Linked DNA regions of Rhinolophus ferrumequinum. Each later gene encodes a partner of the first gene's protein in a complex. Links are inferred from orthologs where the notes say so. Each region holds a gene or a part of one and is shown in the gene's direction. Other genes may lie near its edges.

Region 1 (9,035 bases):
GGCTTTTACTTGGAGTGAGGGGGGAGCTATTGATGGATGTGAGCAGAGGAGAGGGATAAGATCTGACTTGTTTTAAAAGGATCACTGGATGCCTCTGTGTGTGTGTGTGAGAGAGAGAGAGAGAGAGAGAGAGAGAGAGAGAGAGAGACACGGAGACTGTGTACGCATGCGCAAGCATTGACAAGGGCAGAAGCAGAAGGCTCAGGCAGGAGGCTACTGCGACCATCCAGGTGGGGGGTGATGTTTTATTGAGCTCTAATACATGTCAGGCACAGTGTTAGATGCCGAGAGCACAAAGGTGAAGAATTCAGACCAGCTTTTTGCCTTGCTGAAGCTCTCAGTCTAATGCAGGGTTTCTCAGCCTTGGCACTGATAACATTTGGGGCTGGCTAGTTCTCTGCTGGGGGGTCTGGGGGGGCTGTCCTATGCTTTGTCAGGTGCTTAGCAGCATCCCTGGCCTCTACTCTCTGGATGCCAGTAGCAATACCTTCCTCCAGATGTGACAACCAGAAATGTCTCCAGATATGGCCACTGGTCTAGTGGGAGAGAGAAACAAACAGAGCAAATGAATATGTGTTCTTCTTTCCATAATGGTAATTGCTGGGGAGTAAAAAGAGCAAGGAAGCAGAGGTTTGAATCATCTTCCTTTTGATTTTCATTTTCTTCCTGCACCTCTTACATCTCTCCCCACCCACACTGGGCCCATCTGCCTGATGGTCACGTACCATCCCCCACTGCCCTCCATTTGCCTAATCCTGCCAGTCCCTCCTAGAAAGAAGTGGAAAAAAAGAAAGAAAGAAAGAAAGAAAGACCTTCCCTAGGACACATCTCCAAGGGAGGGAGTCCTCATGCCTGTCTGTGGCCGGAACATGACTGCATGCTCTGAAGGTGAGCCCTTCTGTCACCATGCCTGAAGTTGGCCTCCGTTCCAATTGGCCAAAAAGGAACAAAACAAGATATTTAAAACACGTCCCTGCCTCAATCCTGTCCGTTTCACATAACGGACCAAGAGGCCTGCTGCTCGCTTCAGGCAGATAACTCCAAGTGTGCTTATTTTCATAGGCAGCCGAACAGGCTATCTCGGGACGCAGCTTGCCGAGGCCGCGCCCGCTGCTGCTCTCCTGGCTGCAGGCCAACCGGAGTGGAGAGCCATTTCGTCGAGGCCAGGCCTCGGCTGGTTAAGGTGCCTGGGGAAGGGAGCTGGGGCCAGCCCTCCCTCTCCTTGGAGACCAGCTTTATCACCGTGACTTTCTGCCGGGCTTCTTTCAGCCTCATTCTGTCCCCCAATTTTCTCCGTCCCCTGGGAATATTAAGAGAGACATGTTTTAATCTATTTTTATTATTAGCTCATTGCTTATTAATATCACCAGGGAACCTGCTTGTTTAGGCCTGTGCTGGCTTTTCTATCCAGAGAGGCACAGTGGTTGGATTTTTTCTTCTTCTTCCTGTTCATCTGAGCCAAGGTTTCCCTACCTTGGGACAAAGGGACGGTTTGGGTCAAATAATTCTCTGTTGCGGCGGTCGTGTGTGTCTCTGTGTGTGTGGTGTCTGTGCTGTGCACTGTAGGGTAGGATGTTTAGCAACCTCCCAGGTCTCCACCCACTAGATGCCAGTAGCACCTTTTCCCCAAATTGTGACAACCCAAAGTTCTCCATACACTGCCACAGAGGCCCTGGGGGGCAAAACCACCTGGTTTTGAACCTGGTTAAGAACCACAGATTTCAAGGAATATAAAAAAACCTGATTTTAGAGAAAGTTTCCCCCCGACCTCTTGCTGGAGGTTTGCAGGGAGAGAGGAGCTTTCTCTGGGCCTTGGAATGAGTCTAATTTAAAATTCTCCCAGCTCCATCATTCAGGACTTAAAGCTCTTTCTCAAAGGAATTGACCACCTAAAAGGAAAACACAGATCACGCTTCTCTTTTGTTTCCTCCTTTAGAGGCAAGTGAAGGTACAGGGTTTAAAGATGTGGAGTCATAACTGGGTTGGAAGTCTGGTGTCTGGCACTTGCCAGCTGTGTGACCTTGGACAGCTCACTTCCCCTCTCTGGGCTCAGTTCCAGGTCTCTAACAATGCTCCCTATCTCCTGATGAAGTCAGCTTGTGCAAAGCGCTGATGTAGCATAGTGCCTGTTCCACGGTGAGCATGCAGTAGTGGGACTATTCTGTGCAGGGGGAAGTTTTGAGAAGGGCCACTGACTTGAGCTCTAGATTGAGGTCAGCAACGTTGGGCTTCTTTATTCCCTCTTATCAGCCACATTCCATCAAGCCCAGGAGTGGCCCGTAGTGGGCCTGCTCTCGGCTTCCTTTTCGATCCATGTTCCTCCCAGGATTCCATCTGCCACCATACCTTTGTCTCTGTCCCCAGCCGAATTTCTGTTTTCCAGATAACCTCAGACCTACCCGAATGCCAACAGCATTCCTCCAACAGAGCAGAGCTGCCAGAATAAGCTTGCAGCTTCCTGCTCTTTGCCCCAGAAAACATTTCAAGTGATCAAGTGATCAGAGAGAGGGCGGGAGGGAGGGGGAGAATGCTGCAGCTGCTTATGCAACCCGTTTTAATCCCGGGTTAAAATCCACCACGCGACCCGTGGCGTATTTCATTTCCTCATTGGGTCGTGAAGTTAGCTGCACGCAAATTCCGTCACAGACTCAGTCATGTCTGTTCCCGCAAAAGCAGCACCTGGGGAGACAAACAATATTCCTTATGGGATGGTGGTGGAGGGAGACCTGTCTGATTAGGTCTGGCCTTGCCTCTTGTCCCCTACTTGGTCTCCCTCTACAGGCTTCCACCCACAGGAAGAGGCGGTCCCTCCCTTCTGGTGAGGCCTGTTGTCCTGAGTGCTGGTGCTGTGGCCGTGGAGGTGGAGGTGTCTCTTCATCTTGGCCTCTTCAGCCTAAAATACAGCAGCAACAAGGTCCCCTCCCTTTTCATAAAGCGCCGGCCCAGCCCCAGCAGTACAGTGTGTGTGGATTCCTGGCTTGTTCCTGTTTGATGGAAGATTCCCAGCCAGGAAGAATTTATGTACATGCAGAGGGGGTGGGCATCTGTTGTCCATGTGGGGTGGGGGGAGAGCAGGCCATCAGCTCCATGTTTTCTTTGTGGGAACGAATGAATGGTGTGGGACGAGAAAGCCCACGGGTCCTAATTTTAGGAGGAAGGGAAGACTTTATTGGGCCATAGTTTTTTACCTCCTGGCATATGGCTGCCTCACCTCTGGAAGCTTTCTCCAACCTCTAAAGAATGGTGTTTATTTAGCTTCTGTTGTTCCAGCTTGCTGTTTTAAAAAAAATCTTAATTAAGCAGCTTGTCTTTAAAAAAAAAAAAAAGGAAAAAGAAAAATCAACTATGGACATTCGGAGAGCCTTTTGGATTTGCTTTTTCTTTCTCAGGGTACAGACCAACTACAAAGGCAGCTTTCGGGAGGAAACAGGCAAAGACCTCCTCATACTATTGAAATGGGTGAAATTATAAGCCGTTCTGAAAAACTAGTTAATATTTTACTGGGGAGCAGTGCCAGAGATAGGGGTGTGGGGGGCTGCCAAGTGTAGAGCTGTGTGTGAAATAGCTGTTCCATCTGCCTTAGGGGACGAAAAGAAGCAGTACTCTGTGGAAATAAATTTAAGCAAGAATCCTTTTAAAGCTCATGAGATTTGTCTGCCCACCGAGGGCCCAGCTCCCCAAGTACATACATACAGGCATGATTGTGACAGGAAGGGCTAAGCAGTGGGTGTAGGCCTGACTAATAATGGGGGTTCTTGTTTCCTCGTTGAGTTTGACATCTTTCTTTCTCCCTCTGGATTTAAATGGCTTCTCAGACTGAGAGGCACTGCCTGTGCCCTGGATTCAGAAGGTACACGCCTCCTTGGGAAGCAAAGGCGAGAGACAGCGGCTCACTCTCTCTCTTTCTGCATCTGCCGGGAGAGCTGCAGCTGGTATTTTTCCACAGGCCTTTTCTGCGATCTCAGGGCCTAGTCTTTCCCAGCCAGGCCCAGAGTCCGAGAGAGGGTTAATGGGCAGGAAGCTGAAGGCATCGCAGACTAATACGGAAGTCAGATTTTTGTTTAACTGACAGGTTTAGCAGGCCTCAGCAGTGGGGGAGGGGGCCGGGAGGGGAAGGGAAGTTTGTAGATCTAGGCATGTGGCCTGCTAGGAGTGCACTTGGCTTTTCTTAGGGTAAGGACTGAGAGGGCCCCCCCACCCCCTGGCATCCTGGCAGGGAGGCAGGAACCCATTTTGGTTTTCCTTTGAGTACTGGCTGAAGGGGGTGGGTGAGAGGATGTATTCTCTGCGGGGAAAATGGCTCTCTGGCCTGCTTTTCCAGGAGGCATTTTGACAATGACTATGCAAACTTGACCACTCTGTTCCCCTCCTCCCCTAAGCAGCCTGAATCCTCTGTCCTCGGAGAAGCCACAGCTGCTCTTTAGCGATTTTGGGGGGCTTGCCTGTCCTGTTTGCCCCCAACTCCTGAAAGGCCTGCCCCAAGCTCCTTTCTCCTGCCCCCTTGGCTCTTTTCCTGACGCTCCCCCTCCTCAGTTTCTCCCCCCACCCTCCGGGGGGGACCATCGACTGGATTGTTCTAGAAAAGGGCCAGCCTTCCTCCTAGCCGAGAGCCGCTTCTGTGGGGGCAGGTGAGGGTGAGCCCTTTCAGCTCACCCCAAAAACTCTCTTCCCAGTGGCATCCAGGCCTCAGGCTTTGCTGGGGCAGGTCAGGCTGGCTGCACTGGTTTGCCCGTACAGGGAAATCTAGCCAGGGTGTGGGAGAAGTGCGTGTGGGGGCCCCTTTCCCAAGTTTTTCTTGCTGCAAAAGGCCTAGCTTAGCCTGTCTTTTTCTATGCACAGGATGGCTCTTGCTCACCAGAGCCTCACAAAGATAATCGCTCAGGAAGTGTTTCAGCCAATCCCGGGCCGCCTTACACTCCGATTTGCCGGGCCAGCCAATCGGGGATGAGCTCTTATTAGGCGGCCAGATCATCAAGCCGAAGTGCCAAACCCTTTTTCTGTGAGAACTAGGAGCCTGTCCTCCATGTTTTATAAGTATTGACATTACACAGTGTTAACAATGCATCCACAGAGGTAAGCTCGACTTTTTAACCATCTTTTCTCCCCCTCCCTCTGAGACATCCGAATTGTGGGCGAGCAGTGTGATTTCTCTGTGGCTGGCTGTGCCACACTCACCCCCACAGCACTTAGGTTAACTTGGAACTGTTTAGAGAGAATTTTTTTGCTTTCTTGGGTCACATGGCTAAGTAGCCATTAGCCATAGCCTGATTTTGCAAACTGGCAAGGGCCTGGCACACCTTTTCTTCCACCAGGACATGGTGTTTCTGGAATAGTTTGAAGCTAGATCCTGGTATGCCAAAAAAGAAGGTTTTTTTTTTTTTTTTTCCTCCTCTCTCTTTCTCTCTCTCTCTCTCTCTGAGCAGTTTCCCCCCCTGCACTATTGTCTTCTCTTGTGTCACATGCCTGCTGGGGGAAGAAAATGGAAGGTGAGCAAGCAGGCTCCTCTCTAAGGAGAGCTCATGGCAGACAGCAAAGCAGGCAAGTTTTCCTCTCCAAAGAGGTTCTGGGAAGGCTGGACTAAGTTCTGACCAGAGAGGACGTGTGTTTTAAACAGAACCAAGCCCTCAGCAGAGCAGTGCTAAGGAGAGCTCCTAGCTCTTGGGGCCTAGGTGGGTGGTGGTGTCTCTACATGGTCTTTTTTCTCCCAACAGGGTTTCTTCACTTGAAACTACATTGTTCAGCCTTTTTTCCTGACTTCTGTTGCTACAGAATGTTCTTCTGCAAGCCAGCCTACAGCCAGCAAATGTTTCTGAAAGTGTTTTCTAGGCTTTGGAGGAAGTTTTTGGAGTAGGGATGGGGATTGAGGGGGGCGTGGGGGGTGGGATGTTGGACAACATCCTGCAATAAATCTGTGAGGACTCTTTGAATCCCTTAGCTTTCTATTCTTGCATGATTTTCAATGAACTAATGTATCTTTTATCCTTGTTTTCTTTTTCCTTTCCCCCCCCTTTTTTTTTTACATTGTATCATCTTCTGCCCTCCTGTGTGATAGAGTGCAGAGGAAATAAAATCATGTGTGTGGCTCATGACAGCATTCCCTATTCAGTTGTTGTGTTGTTGTTGTGTGTGTTTTTAATAATCCCATGTAACTGTTTAAAAAAATTTCCTTTTTGATCAAGTCCCAAATCTGCCAGCCTGTTCTCTCTTCTTAACTGTGGAAAAATGAGACGGTTGCTTGAACATGTTGGGTAAGTAAAGCGATCCATTTCCTCTGTGACCATGTATAAAGAGTTTGGTGAACATTTGGGGCCTGTTTGTAACAGGGGGTCTTGGCTACAGCCGTGGAGGGCTTTTCCTTAGCAGGAACCAAATAAGGGCTTTTTAATAGTGTCTTGATTTTAGGTGACTGTGTGAATCAACTGTTTTTCCTGAGAACCTGCAGCTAGGATTGAAGATTACACTTCCTGTTAACCCTCAGACAGGGGAGAAATGTGCAGTTCGTTGTGACTTGACTGGAGACCTTTAATTGGGTTTGTTTGGATATTAGAACTCTGGGTAGGTGATCTGCTTGTGAAATGTAAGAAAGTGCTTGGTCTTAGAATCACAGAACCTTAAGCCGTGGTGGGGCAGGAGCTGGTGGTTGTGGTGGTGGTGGTGGTGGTGGTGGTGGTGGTGGTGGTGTGTGGGGGTGGTGGTGTCAGTACTTAGGTTTTGGGATACTGACATGGATTGCAAAATCCCACCCACCAGCAGCAAACTTGGTTTGATTTAGGACTCACTGAACAACAGATTTCGGCCTTTTTCCAAGGCAGACCCACACACGTCTGTATGCACGCTTGCCTTTACTAATGATTTATTTCTCACTTTTTACATTTCCCCTGATCTCTTAATGCTGCAGTTAGGACTTAAGAATGAAAAAAAGTGGACTCTTGTTTAGTGTTAGCTTCAGAATTTCCCTAGAAGTTCACTGCATCAATTTCAGTCTGGAGAACAATCCAGCATGACTGTAAATGCTGGAAATAGATGCAGTTGCTGTGTTATGCCAACTTTATGGAGTCAATAATCTTTTTTTTCTTCTTTTAGTGACTATCTACCCACCTTTTAGCACCAATGGGAAAAAGGCTCATTTAATAATGATAAAGGTACCAAATTCGAGAAAAGTCTGTGTAGGGCCAGTGTCTTAGAGTAAAAGGGCAGGCAGTTAATGATGTTTTATATACTTAAAACACTTGTGCCCCACACAAGTAAGTTCAGACACTTAGCTATTTTCTTTGTTCCTATCTCCTGGCTGTAAATGGAAATTACATATTGAGGTTCTTGTGGCCTCCTCAGAAGCAATATCTAATCACAAGACTCCTGGTTTGGTGCCTTCAATGTTTGCATAATGGTGTGTTTGTTGGGCTGGAAGGAAACTGAAGGGCAAGGCATTTGTCCTCTAAAAGCTTGCATTAAAATGGCTCCCACAGGTTTGCAAAGCCAAGATCTGTTTTCAGATGTGCAGCTCCAGCAGGTTCCTAGCCCTGGACCAACCTAGCCCTTTTCCTTGGGGACTGTGGCCACCACTAAGCATGAGTCTGTAAAAAGTTAATTGCTTTCAAAGTCGCATTATTTTCCAGTTTTCACTAAGGGGGAAAAATAAATGTCTGCATTGCAGCAGGACTAGGTAGGGACAGCAGTGCTGGCTCACAGAGCAAGCCCAATGGGCTTCCTCTCTTCCAGATTTTGAACCAATAGACTTGGAGGAGAAAGGTTACAGATTGACAATTGCAGTGGCCGGACTCAGACCGGGCCTTCTGGAAATTTCTGCCATCTTTGTTCCTTTTAGGAAAAGCAGATCCTCCAAGCTGAAGAGTTTCCTGCATTCCATTCCTAGGGCATCGCCCCTCCCCCACTCTCTTTTTTTTTTTCTATCAAGGTAGAAGGTTCTCTCTCTGCCACGTTTGCAAATTGCAGAGGGAGGAACGGGACACTGGGTTGTTTCCCTTTTTCCTTCTATCTCCTCAGTCCCCAAAGAGGATGCACAGCTGCAAGGAACAAACACAGACACACTGGAGCTTTTGATCTGCCCCCCCCCCTTTTTTTTTCCTTCAAGACCCTCCAGGATGGATTCACTTTCTGCTTTGGGAAATTAAATGGCATTCACGAGGGGGAAGGGTTAGTGACTGCTTTTATTAGCTCCAGAAAATGGTCAGTGTTCCCGACTATAACTAGGAATTAATTATACGTAATCACTCCGTAAACTTTCTACAGAGTTTTTCTACTTGCTGTGCGTGCACATGGGTAGCCTGTTGGAGCCCCTTCCAGTTACTTTTTATAATTAACGACCCACAGATTTGAGTCAGAAAGAAGGAAACAATGGGGCATCTTAGATTACAAATTAGGGATGAAAACAATAGCTTCTTTTTCTTTTCTTTCTTTCCTGTAACCCCTTTTCTTTTCAACAAAACATTCCCCACTTTTTCCCCCCAGGAGAACAGTGGGGAAACGGCTTCAGGTCTTAAATAGGAGAGGGGGAAAATGAGTCACTCTTTAAAAAGCAGGGTGACAGTAACCCAGAAAACCCTGAAGGCAGAGGTAGGTTTTTTGAGTCCAACCACTTCAAATGTGTGATCTCTTTGTTTCCTTTGCCTTCTTTTCCCTTCTCTCTCCTGTGGCAGAGGCAACAAACATTTGTCAGCTGATAAGCCCTAGATCTGGCTTTGCCTCTGGTTGACCCTGAAAAGAAAGACACATGCAGAAGTGCTTTCCCGACCCCACGGCAGAGACTTAGTAAGGGAATATGTTTAGAAGCCCTTGTGTTGCACTTTAATGCAAAAACCAGGATTCACCCTTGGCTTCAGGTTGCCTAGGGTATGGCCGCCCTCCCCCCGCCCCACCCCACTCTCCTTCCAGATAAACAAGCTGGCGGGAGCCATTTCAGCCTTGCAGCTAGCTGTGCTGCCAGGCTGTCCCTCCTCATCAAGATTACCGTACCTATCAGCCGGCGAGGAGCCAGCCGCCCGTCCTGGCCCTGGCACAGCCTTGGGCACTGTGCC
Region 2 (8,451 bases), on another chromosome or scaffold:
TTAATATTTGCTCCAAAAGACGCATTAGAGCTGATGGTCCGGCTAGGTCTTATTTTCAGGGAAACAGTAGAAGGGTGGATGTAAGGGGAAAGGAGGATGGAGAGCAGAGAGCTGGGGACTAAACCTCAGGAAAGAGGTGCTCACGTGGATGGAAGTAAAAACAAGCACGGGGTACCTGCTCCGAACGGCTGCCTCTGCTGGGACCCACAGAGCAATCACTTAAAGAGTATATGTCATTTAATCATGGAAACACACTTAACAGAGATGTCATTAAGTGCATATTTCAGATGAGGGACCTGGGGCTCAAAGAGAAAGTGACCTGGCCAGAGCCACCCAGCCAGAGTGGCCTGGGTCTGCTGCTTCAAGGCTGCAGTGCTCCCCACTGCGCCTCCTGGCTGCTCCCCCATCACAGAGCTGCAGGGATCACAGTGTTCCAAAGCTGGGGTGCGAGGCTGTGTGGGTGGAAGCCGTGGCGACTGGGAAATGTCCTTGTGTCAGGTAGGGGAAGCCATTAGCGCCCTTGGAGAGTGCAGCCTCCCCAGCTAAAGGGGCAGAGCCCATGGCAGGGGGCTGAGTGGGAACTGGAGAGGCAGTGTGTAAGAGGGGCTTTTTCCAGCTCAGAGCAGCTAGAGCTCATTCAAAGTCAGCAGGGAGAGAGGCGGTAGAGGGAGAGGAACTGAGTACAGAGAACAGGCAGGAACTGATGATTCTGTTGCTGCCTCCTCAGTGCCAGGCCCTGCGTGGCCTTGGAACACATACAAGGTACACACCACCCTGTGGACCCTTCCATGCAGCCCTGCTATGGGAAGGCAGCTGAGGCCAGCCCCATACAAGCAGGGAGCAGCCGGGAGGACTGAGTGGGCCTGAGTCCAAAGCCAACCAAGAGTGGAAGTAGGGCTCCTCCCCAGCTGGGGCATAACGGGGAGGTAGGGTTCCAGGGGCCCTGGTAGGACAAGAAGAAGCTCGCTGGGAGCCTGGGGAGGACTCAGGAAGTCAGGCCACCCCGGGGAGATCATGCAGTGGGGTAGCTACAGAGTGGTCAGGGAGCGCCCCGGGATGGGCCTGGGTCTCCTGCTCAGCCTGGGGGACTAGGTCAGCTCAGCTTTCACCCATTTCCCTTGCCACTGATAAAAATGACCGCTACTAGGTAGATGAAGAAGGACTCTTTCAGTGCAAGTGTAACTAGTTTAGCAGAAACAGGGAGAATTTATCTCATTTAACTGAGGTTAACGGCTTCAGATCTGGTGGGACCAGGTACTCTGGGTGTTACCAGCAGTCTGTCTGCTGTCTCCATCTCTGGGCACTGCTTTCCTAAGTGCTGGCTGTATTCTCAGGCGGCTCTCCCCATTATTGGGGAGACACCCCTCAACCAGCTCCAGACCCACATCCTGCCAGCTCAGCAGCCCCAGTAGAGGCTTTCTCAATGATTCCAGCAAAAGTCCCAGGGCTGCTGCCCATTGGGCTGACTTGGGTCATGTGTCCATCCCTGAAGCAGTCACTGGGTCTGACCGGTGGGCCTGGAACACAGGCTCCCCTCTGGAGCCTGTAGTGGAAAAATCAGCCGGAAGACAAGGGTAGGGCTTATGGAGGAGAGACCCTCGAGCTAGATCCAACAAGATCCGGGCCAGAACAGACTGCTTCCCATAAATCCCCTCAGAGACTGTCCCATGGTCCCCTCCCATGTGTCCCACCTCCTGCTCCTTCCTGGAACAGGTCGCTGCACACCCCGCCCCCCAAGCATGGGAAGCATTTTCCCATTATCTGGGCAGGTCACACCCCGGTGCCCCATCCATCCAGTCCTGTCCTATATAACCCTTTGTGCCTGCCACGTGGCCTGGAGGACATCCCTGTCACCTCAGTGCCATCGCCCAAGATGTGCCTCTTATGTAAGCTCTCTTAATAAACTCTTGATATAATGCTGGAGTTGTCAGCCTTTTTCTTCAGTCTCTCAGGCCTGGGAAGTTTTACATAACAGGGATGCCTGACCATGGACAGCCACTGCACTGGGCACTTTTCCTCCATGCCCAGGACTCCTGCACCCGGACTTTTCCTTAGACCCTACAGCTGTAACCTGAGGAACTACCTCTGACTAAATTGCAGGCCAGGCTAGCCCCTACATGTGGAAATGGGGGTGCTAGAAGGGGAAGTGGGAGAATAGGTGGTAGACTGACGTGATGTGGGACAGTCCTGGGTTCCCATCCAGACTTGCTACTCACCAACTGTGTGCCTCGGGGCCTCACTGCTCCTCTCTGAGCCTCAGCTTTCCTATCTGTAAAATAGTGATAACAGCCCACATCTCAATGGCATCTGCTATGTGCAGTTGCCATTTTAAGCACTTTCTAGATACTGTTTTAACATCCTCAAACAGACCCTATGAGGTAGGTACCATCATCATCATCCCCATTTTGTAGCTGGAAACGAGTAAGACAAAGAAGTTCAAGGAGTGAGTCTAAGGTCACACGGTTAGCAAGGTCCGTGGATTAGCAAGATCTGGGCAGCAATTGGCTTGTGAGGAGCAGAGCTTCTGTGGGAAAGTGGCCGGCCCAGTGCCAGGGCCCACACCTGCAAGGATGAGGGGGCATTTTTGAAGGTGTGCTTGGTATGAACTTGCAGAGTCAGGGTGAGGGCAGAGAAGGCTCCACCAGCCTGTGCTAAAAAATAGTCCTGAGGCCAATGTGTCATCCTCGAAGCCTTCCCTGAGATGTGTGGGGAGCACAGAATAGGAAGGTGGGTGTGGGGGGGAGGAGGGCCAGGCTGTGAAAAGGAAGGGAGGGGTTCTTATTTTCCAAGCTTCCATCCAGTCACTCACAACATGTTATCAAAGAGGAAACTCAGAGAAGGAAAGCATTTTAGCCCAGGTCACACAGCAAGTGACCAGCTTCAGAACTGAATTCTCCCTCTTTGTTGACTTTTGCACTCTGGGGACCCAGAAACCACTGGACCAGCCTCCCAGGGTGTTGTGGAGGCTCACTCTCTGGGGGTGGGGAGACCACTGTGTTAGTGGCTTAAAAGGTGTTCAGTGCTGAGAGTAATAGACACCAAGTCCTGGTGGGAGGACCGCCAAGTAAGCACCCAGCACCCACCCACCAAAGTGGGGTGTGTGGCTTTCAGGGCTAAAAGGAGGCAGGGTCACAGAGGAGGTAGTGATCAATGGTCACCCCACTCCCACAGGTCGAAGAAACAGGACTAAGACAGGACCATCGAATTTGGCAATTTAGGGGTCACTAGTGACCTTGGCCAGAGCAATTCCAAGAACAACGGAGACAGGGGGAGACAGATTACAGATATACAAATTACAGGATGAAGATGTGGAGGGAGAAGGGTGAGAAGACCAGAAGGGCTGGGCTCCAGGGCAGCCAAGCAGGCGACCCTCTTGGTTCCACTTACAAGGCCTCTCTGTACCATCTTTGTAATTTTTCTATGAATCTAAAACTATTCTAAAATGAGCTTATATAAAAATATAGATGGTAAAGAGGGCGTGGCTGGAAAGAGGCAGGAATTTGAGGGAGAGCATGCATGTGGGCTTCTGTGTTGTGGATGTGAAATCGAGCAAGCAGGAGGCTGGGAAGGGGGCCAGGGAGGGGAAGGTGGGAGGAATTCTGAGCTGGGACAAGTCAAAGGAAGCAGGAAGGGGCTGAGACCCAAGATCTCCCCTTCAGCCCTGTCATGGGATTTCCTCCCACCCCAGAATCCTAGTGACCTTGCCTGGGCCTTGCTCCAAGTGGGGGCTGTGGAGAAACTGCTAGGGCCAGGGGTCCATGGGCATAGTGGGCACAGGCAGGGGTCTGTGAACGCTTTTGAGTTTTAAGAGGGTTTTCTTACTCCAAAGCGCTGGGAACCACTGCTGGAGATCAACGCACACGCTACTCTCCTCCTCCTGTGGCCAACTCAGAACTCAGAGGCCCAGCTGAACCGTCTCCCAGATTAGACTAGGTAGTTAGCTCAGGTTCCATCACCTCCCTGGGAAGATGGGGGTGGCTTTGTAGGTGGTGCGAAAGGCTTCTGAGAGCTGGGGAGAGTTTCAGGGTCCCACCTCAGCAAGGAGCAGACGTGTTTCTGGAGGTGCTGGCAGTGGTGCCCACTCTCCTGCAGGGGACTCCTCTGAGGCCCTAGTGCTTTCTGTGCTCAGAGCTTTGGGGGAAAAAAGTGCCAGGAGGCTGGTCCTGGAGGAACCCTTCCCTGAGTCTACAGTTAGATGCTACTACTTGAAGGAAGTCCACTTGGGATCCTCTACGATGCCTGAGGCTTGCCAGTCAAGGCAAAGGAGTTCCTGGGCTGACCCCATCTGAGAGGGGCCAGGAGGCTGCTGGTAAAGAAGGGGGGCTCAGCCTAGGGGTGGTGGAAGAGGCTGGCGATACTGTGGTAATGAGCTTGGTTGGGGCTGGGGATGGTCAAGGAGGCAGGGATGTAGAGGTGCGGTTGGTTACTCGGATCAGAATGAGGACAGGATAGGCTGGACTGAGGAGGGTGCATCTAAGGATGGGGTGTGGGGAATGGGGGTGCATGCTAAGCATAGAGTTGGGAATGGGGCTGGAACTGGGGCTGGGAAAGAGATGGCAGTGGACAGTGGTAGGATGGACTGAATGGGCCTTTCCGAGGTGAGGCTGGGCGGCAGATGGGCCAGGGGTGGCTGATCTGTGAATTGGGTTGGGACTGGGGGTTTGGATGGATCAGGGATGGGGGTGAGACCAGGATGGAGATAATTAAGCACCAAATGGGACTGGGCCGGATTGGAATGAAGTGGATTTGGGATTGGGACTGGGAGCTGATTAGGAGAAGAATCAGCTGGGGACGGGGATGGTTGGAGCTGGGGAAGAGGGTGAGTACCTTAGGCTGGGAACACGGTGAGGGTTTGGGACGCGGGTGCGATGGGCCTCGGGAGAGGAGGGGCAGGTTGGCCCGGGTGCGGACGCAGAGGCGGTGGGTGAGGGGCGGGGGGCGCCTGGGGCAGGCCGGGAAGGGGGGGCTGGCCTCCCCCTGGGCTGGGCCCGGGCGGCGCTAGGACCGAGCGCGGAGGGACGAGCCGGGCGGAGCCAGCGCCCCCCGCCCCCCGCCGGCCGGCTCCCCTCCCCCGGCCGCTGGCTCGCTCGGCTCTCAACGCTGCAGAGGCTCCGAGGCGGCGGCGGCGGTGACTCCCTCGTTCCCTCCCTCTTCTGTCCGTCCGTCCGTGCGTCTGTCCGTTCGGCCTGGGTCCGGCCCGCAGTATGGCCGGCGTCAGCTTCAGCGGCCACCGCCTGGAGCTGCTGGCGGCGTACGAGGAGGTGATCCGGGAGGAGAGCGCGGCGGACTGGTGAGCCCCCGCCCCCGCCCCCCGGCCCCTTTGTCCCCGCGCCGCCGCCGCCGCCGCCGCGCCTTTGTTTCCACCCGGCCCGCCGCACGGCTGCAGGGAAGGGAGGGGGCGACCCCGAAATGGTGGAGCGGCCTGGGAGGGCCGGGAGGGGCTGCCTTTGTGCGCGCCGGGGAGGGGCCGGGCGGGGTGCTGCGCCCCGAGGCCGGCCCAGGCGCGCGGTATGAGCGGTGGCCAGACGCGGGTCGGAGAGACGCAGGATCTGGACGTGTGGCCCGGGGCCACATGGTCCTGCAGGAGCCCATCCCCCGTCCTCTCCCCCGCCGGGGCTCAGGGGACAGGTGTGCACCGGGCGGCCAAGGGCACCTTCGCTACCTTCTAGCGGGCGCGGACCGGGCGGTGACGGGGCGGGGACCCAGCTAGCGGAGCCAGCTCAGCCTGCCTGGCCCAGCCCCGCCGGCCGGCCACAGCACAAAGGAACGCTAGGGCGGGGGAGGAGCAGAGCGGGCTGGGGGCCGAGGCGCCCCGCCCACCGGGGGGGCCTCTCGGAGTTGGGGTGTGATGGAAAGACGTTCATTGCACATGGCAACCGTGCAGTGACTCCTGTTCCTCTCAGTGGTCGTGGAGGAGACGGAGATAAATGGGATTGTAGGTACTGGGCAGCTGGGCTGGGAGATGCCAAGGGGGCCAGCTGGGGACCCTGGGAGGAAGCCCTCAGGCGCACACGCGTGGAGGGAGCCCCTAGAGAGGGATGAGGGCTGAGTAGATCCACTGAGCCCCCAGCCTCATCGCACAGTGGCAAGGGGCTCTCGGCTTCCTGGTGGGGGAGGAGCTGGGCTGCCCTCTTCCCCCTCCCCAGCTGTTGTCTCCCCAAGCTCTGGGAGGGGTGGACCACCTGCTCTGAGGCTGGTGTCCCCAGGGTGGTAGGAAAGCCAAGGGGTTCCACACTGCCCCATTCAGGAATCATCCCCCCAAAAGACTCTTCTCTTGGGGCAGGTACCCATTCTGTTCCCAGGCCTCTTCTCCCCTTGGCAGGCAGGAAACTGAGGTACAGTGTGAGGGCAGGCCTGAGGGACCTCACTTGAGCTGGCCTTACCCTCACCCTGGGAAGGCATTTGGGAAGGGACACTGACCTGGGGGCTGGAGGAGGGGACAAGTGGTGAGGTGTCCATGCCACGGTACTGCAGCACTGGCGGGCAGCCAGTCCTGGAGGGATGGACGCGGGAGACAAGCTCATGTCCTGCAGGTCAGTCACAGGAGAGGCCAGCACAGGCGAAGTGGGCAGGCGGCCCACCCATTGTCCCAGCCCTGCCCCTGGGGGCTGAGATCATGGGAGAAGTCCAGGGCAAGTGGCTGCCTTGGCCTAGTGGAGGAGCTGGCCTCGAGACCCGATGGGCCCTGCCTGAAGAGGGGCAGGGTCCATCATAGAATGCCCCCCTCACCCTCAGTCTGGGGATACTGTCTATCACCACCCCATCGGGCCTAACCCCCCAAAAGCAGAGCTCTGGAGGCCCAGTGCGGGTCCACACAACCACTGCTGGCCCACGTCCTCCTCAGCAGAGGGCTGGGCTCCCACCACGCAGCAGCATCCATGTGGCCAGAGTGAGTTATTCATCACTGGCGTGCGTCACCCCATCTGGGTGTGTGTGAGGCACACACAGATTCACACAGCCTCGCACATGCACACACGTATTCACTCTCAGTGGCCTAGGTAGCATTTTGTAAAAAGGGTGTGAGGATCATGTCCTGCTGCCAGCTCCGAGCCAGGGGTGCAGTGGGGTCTCAGGACTCAGGCACAGACCCGACACTAAGTCTAGAGGAGGATGTCTTGGGTAAAATTGCTGCCTGAGCAAAGGAGGCTTATCATTGCCCTCCCTTATCTTGCCTCTGAGTGGGGCTGGGGAGCAGGAGGGGAGTGGTCACTCCTGTGGCAGGGCATCTGAAATGGACCACTGTCCAGGTGGGAGCAGGGGACCCCAGGAAGTTAGGTTGTGTAGTGGGAAGAGCCAGTGTTGCCCTGGATGTGACAGACTCACTATGTGACCACACACAAGTGCCTGCTCTTCTCGTGTTCTTGAAAACAAGGAGACTCAACCATATCGGGACCTCCAGGGCCCATCTGGCTCTGACATCCTGAGAGTGTGATTGTCCTGAGGGGTCCACCTGCCCTCAGCCTCCCACGTTAGCTGACTCCAGCATCTCCTTGGAGCTCCAGCTCCCAACTCACCTCAGTCCAGTTTCTCTGGCCTAGATGGTTTTTCAGTGTTAGTGCCAGTATCTCAGGTACCTACTGGTGCCACTGTGGGCTGGACCCTGGACCCAGAGAGTGAAGTATGTTGATTGACTGAGTCAGACATCCTGCCTCCGCGAAGCTTAGGTCTGAGGCAGTGTCTGTCTCCAGGGCTTAGAGCTGGTGAGACATGTAGATTCCTGGTTCCCCCCACTCTGACTTCCTGCGGTTTCACCAGCTCCCACTGTCCAGGCCCAGGCCAAAGCCGGCTCTGCGGTATTTGAGAAGCACTTGTTCAGTGAGATCTGCGGCAGGCTTAGATGCCTTTTTCCATCCCTGCTGGGGTGTGATAATGCCTGAGGAGGTGCACCTCAGGACAGGGCACAGCTTCCTAGGGAGCTGGCATTGGGGCCCCGAGGGATTTCTGCCAGGGGTGGGCATGTGGTAGAGAAACTGGTCTGGTCTTTTTGTGACAGGAATCACATATGCAAAGGCTCGAGGGTGGGAAATACCCAGAACTGTGTTTGGCATCCGCGAGCCGTCTAGTGTGACCCCAGTGTGTGGTGTGGACACAGAAGGTCTAGCTGGAAAGGCAGGCAGGTGGGGCTCAGGGTTGAAGGCCTGCTGAAGGCTTTGAACTTAGCTATGGTTTCTGTCAGGTCAGTGGCTGGAGCTGAAAGGTGGCTGGAAGTGGGCAGGCAAGAGTTGAGGATGGAAGGGGCAGTACATGTGTAGCAAGGGCACTCAGAACTTCTGGGAGGCTAATAGTCACCCCTGGGAGGTGTGTGTGTCTGGGAACCAGGGTCTCAGAGTTCTGCCTCAGTTTCTCATTTTTGGAATGGGAAGGGGCAGACTTTGCTTCTCTGAGGGCCCTTTGTTCCCAGTGACGGGTTAGGGCAGCCGGACAGGTGGTGGGACAGCTGTGCTGGGAAGC

Evidence for each region.
Region 2: the proteins of ZMYND8 (region 1) and DBN1 are in contact, whole or in part, in a crystal structure (PDB 5Y1Z), measured with the Homo sapiens proteins. The link is inferred for Rhinolophus ferrumequinum from reciprocal best matches to the Homo sapiens genes ZMYND8 and DBN1. Residues at the interface, in NP_001350670.1 of Homo sapiens: Gln167, Pro168, Gly169, Thr170, Gln236, Ile237, Val240, Lys243, Ile244, His247, Trp269, Leu285, Gly287, Phe288, Phe307, Gly309, Gln310, His311, Asp312, Ala314, Thr335, Lys336, Ser337, Ile338; in NP_004386.3 of Homo sapiens: Met1, Ala2, Phe6, Ser7, Arg10, Leu11, Leu14, Tyr17, Glu18, Asp92, Ala93, Cys96, Ala97, Ala99, Ser100, Lys104, Glu107, Phe108, Gln110.

What each region holds. Positions count from the first base shown.
Region 1 is NC_046306.1:11,178,097-11,187,131, forward strand, and holds the start of ZMYND8 (protein kinase C-binding protein 1), read left to right. Parts: upstream 1-5,430; 5' UTR 5,431-5,479; coding exon of another isoform or gene 5,480-5,519; coding exon 5,520-5,538; intron 5,539-5,711; coding exon 5,712-5,847; intron 5,848-6,179; coding exon 6,180-6,248; intron 6,249-9,035. UniProt on the Homo sapiens protein: Chromatin reader that recognizes dual histone modifications such as histone H3.1 dimethylated at 'Lys-36' and histone H4 acetylated at 'Lys-16' (H3.1K36me2-H4K16ac) and histone H3 methylated at 'Lys-4' and histone H4 acetylated at 'Lys-14' (H3K4me1-H3K14ac).
Region 2 is NC_046307.1:5,150,451-5,158,901, forward strand, and holds the start of DBN1 (drebrin), read left to right. Parts: upstream 1-5,040; 5' UTR 5,041-5,204; coding exon 5,205-5,290; intron 5,291-5,870; exon of another isoform or gene 5,871-5,927; coding exon of another isoform or gene 5,928-5,935; intron 5,936-8,451. UniProt on the Homo sapiens protein: Actin cytoskeleton-organizing protein that plays a role in the formation of cell projections. Required for actin polymerization at immunological synapses (IS) and for the recruitment of the chemokine receptor CXCR4 to IS.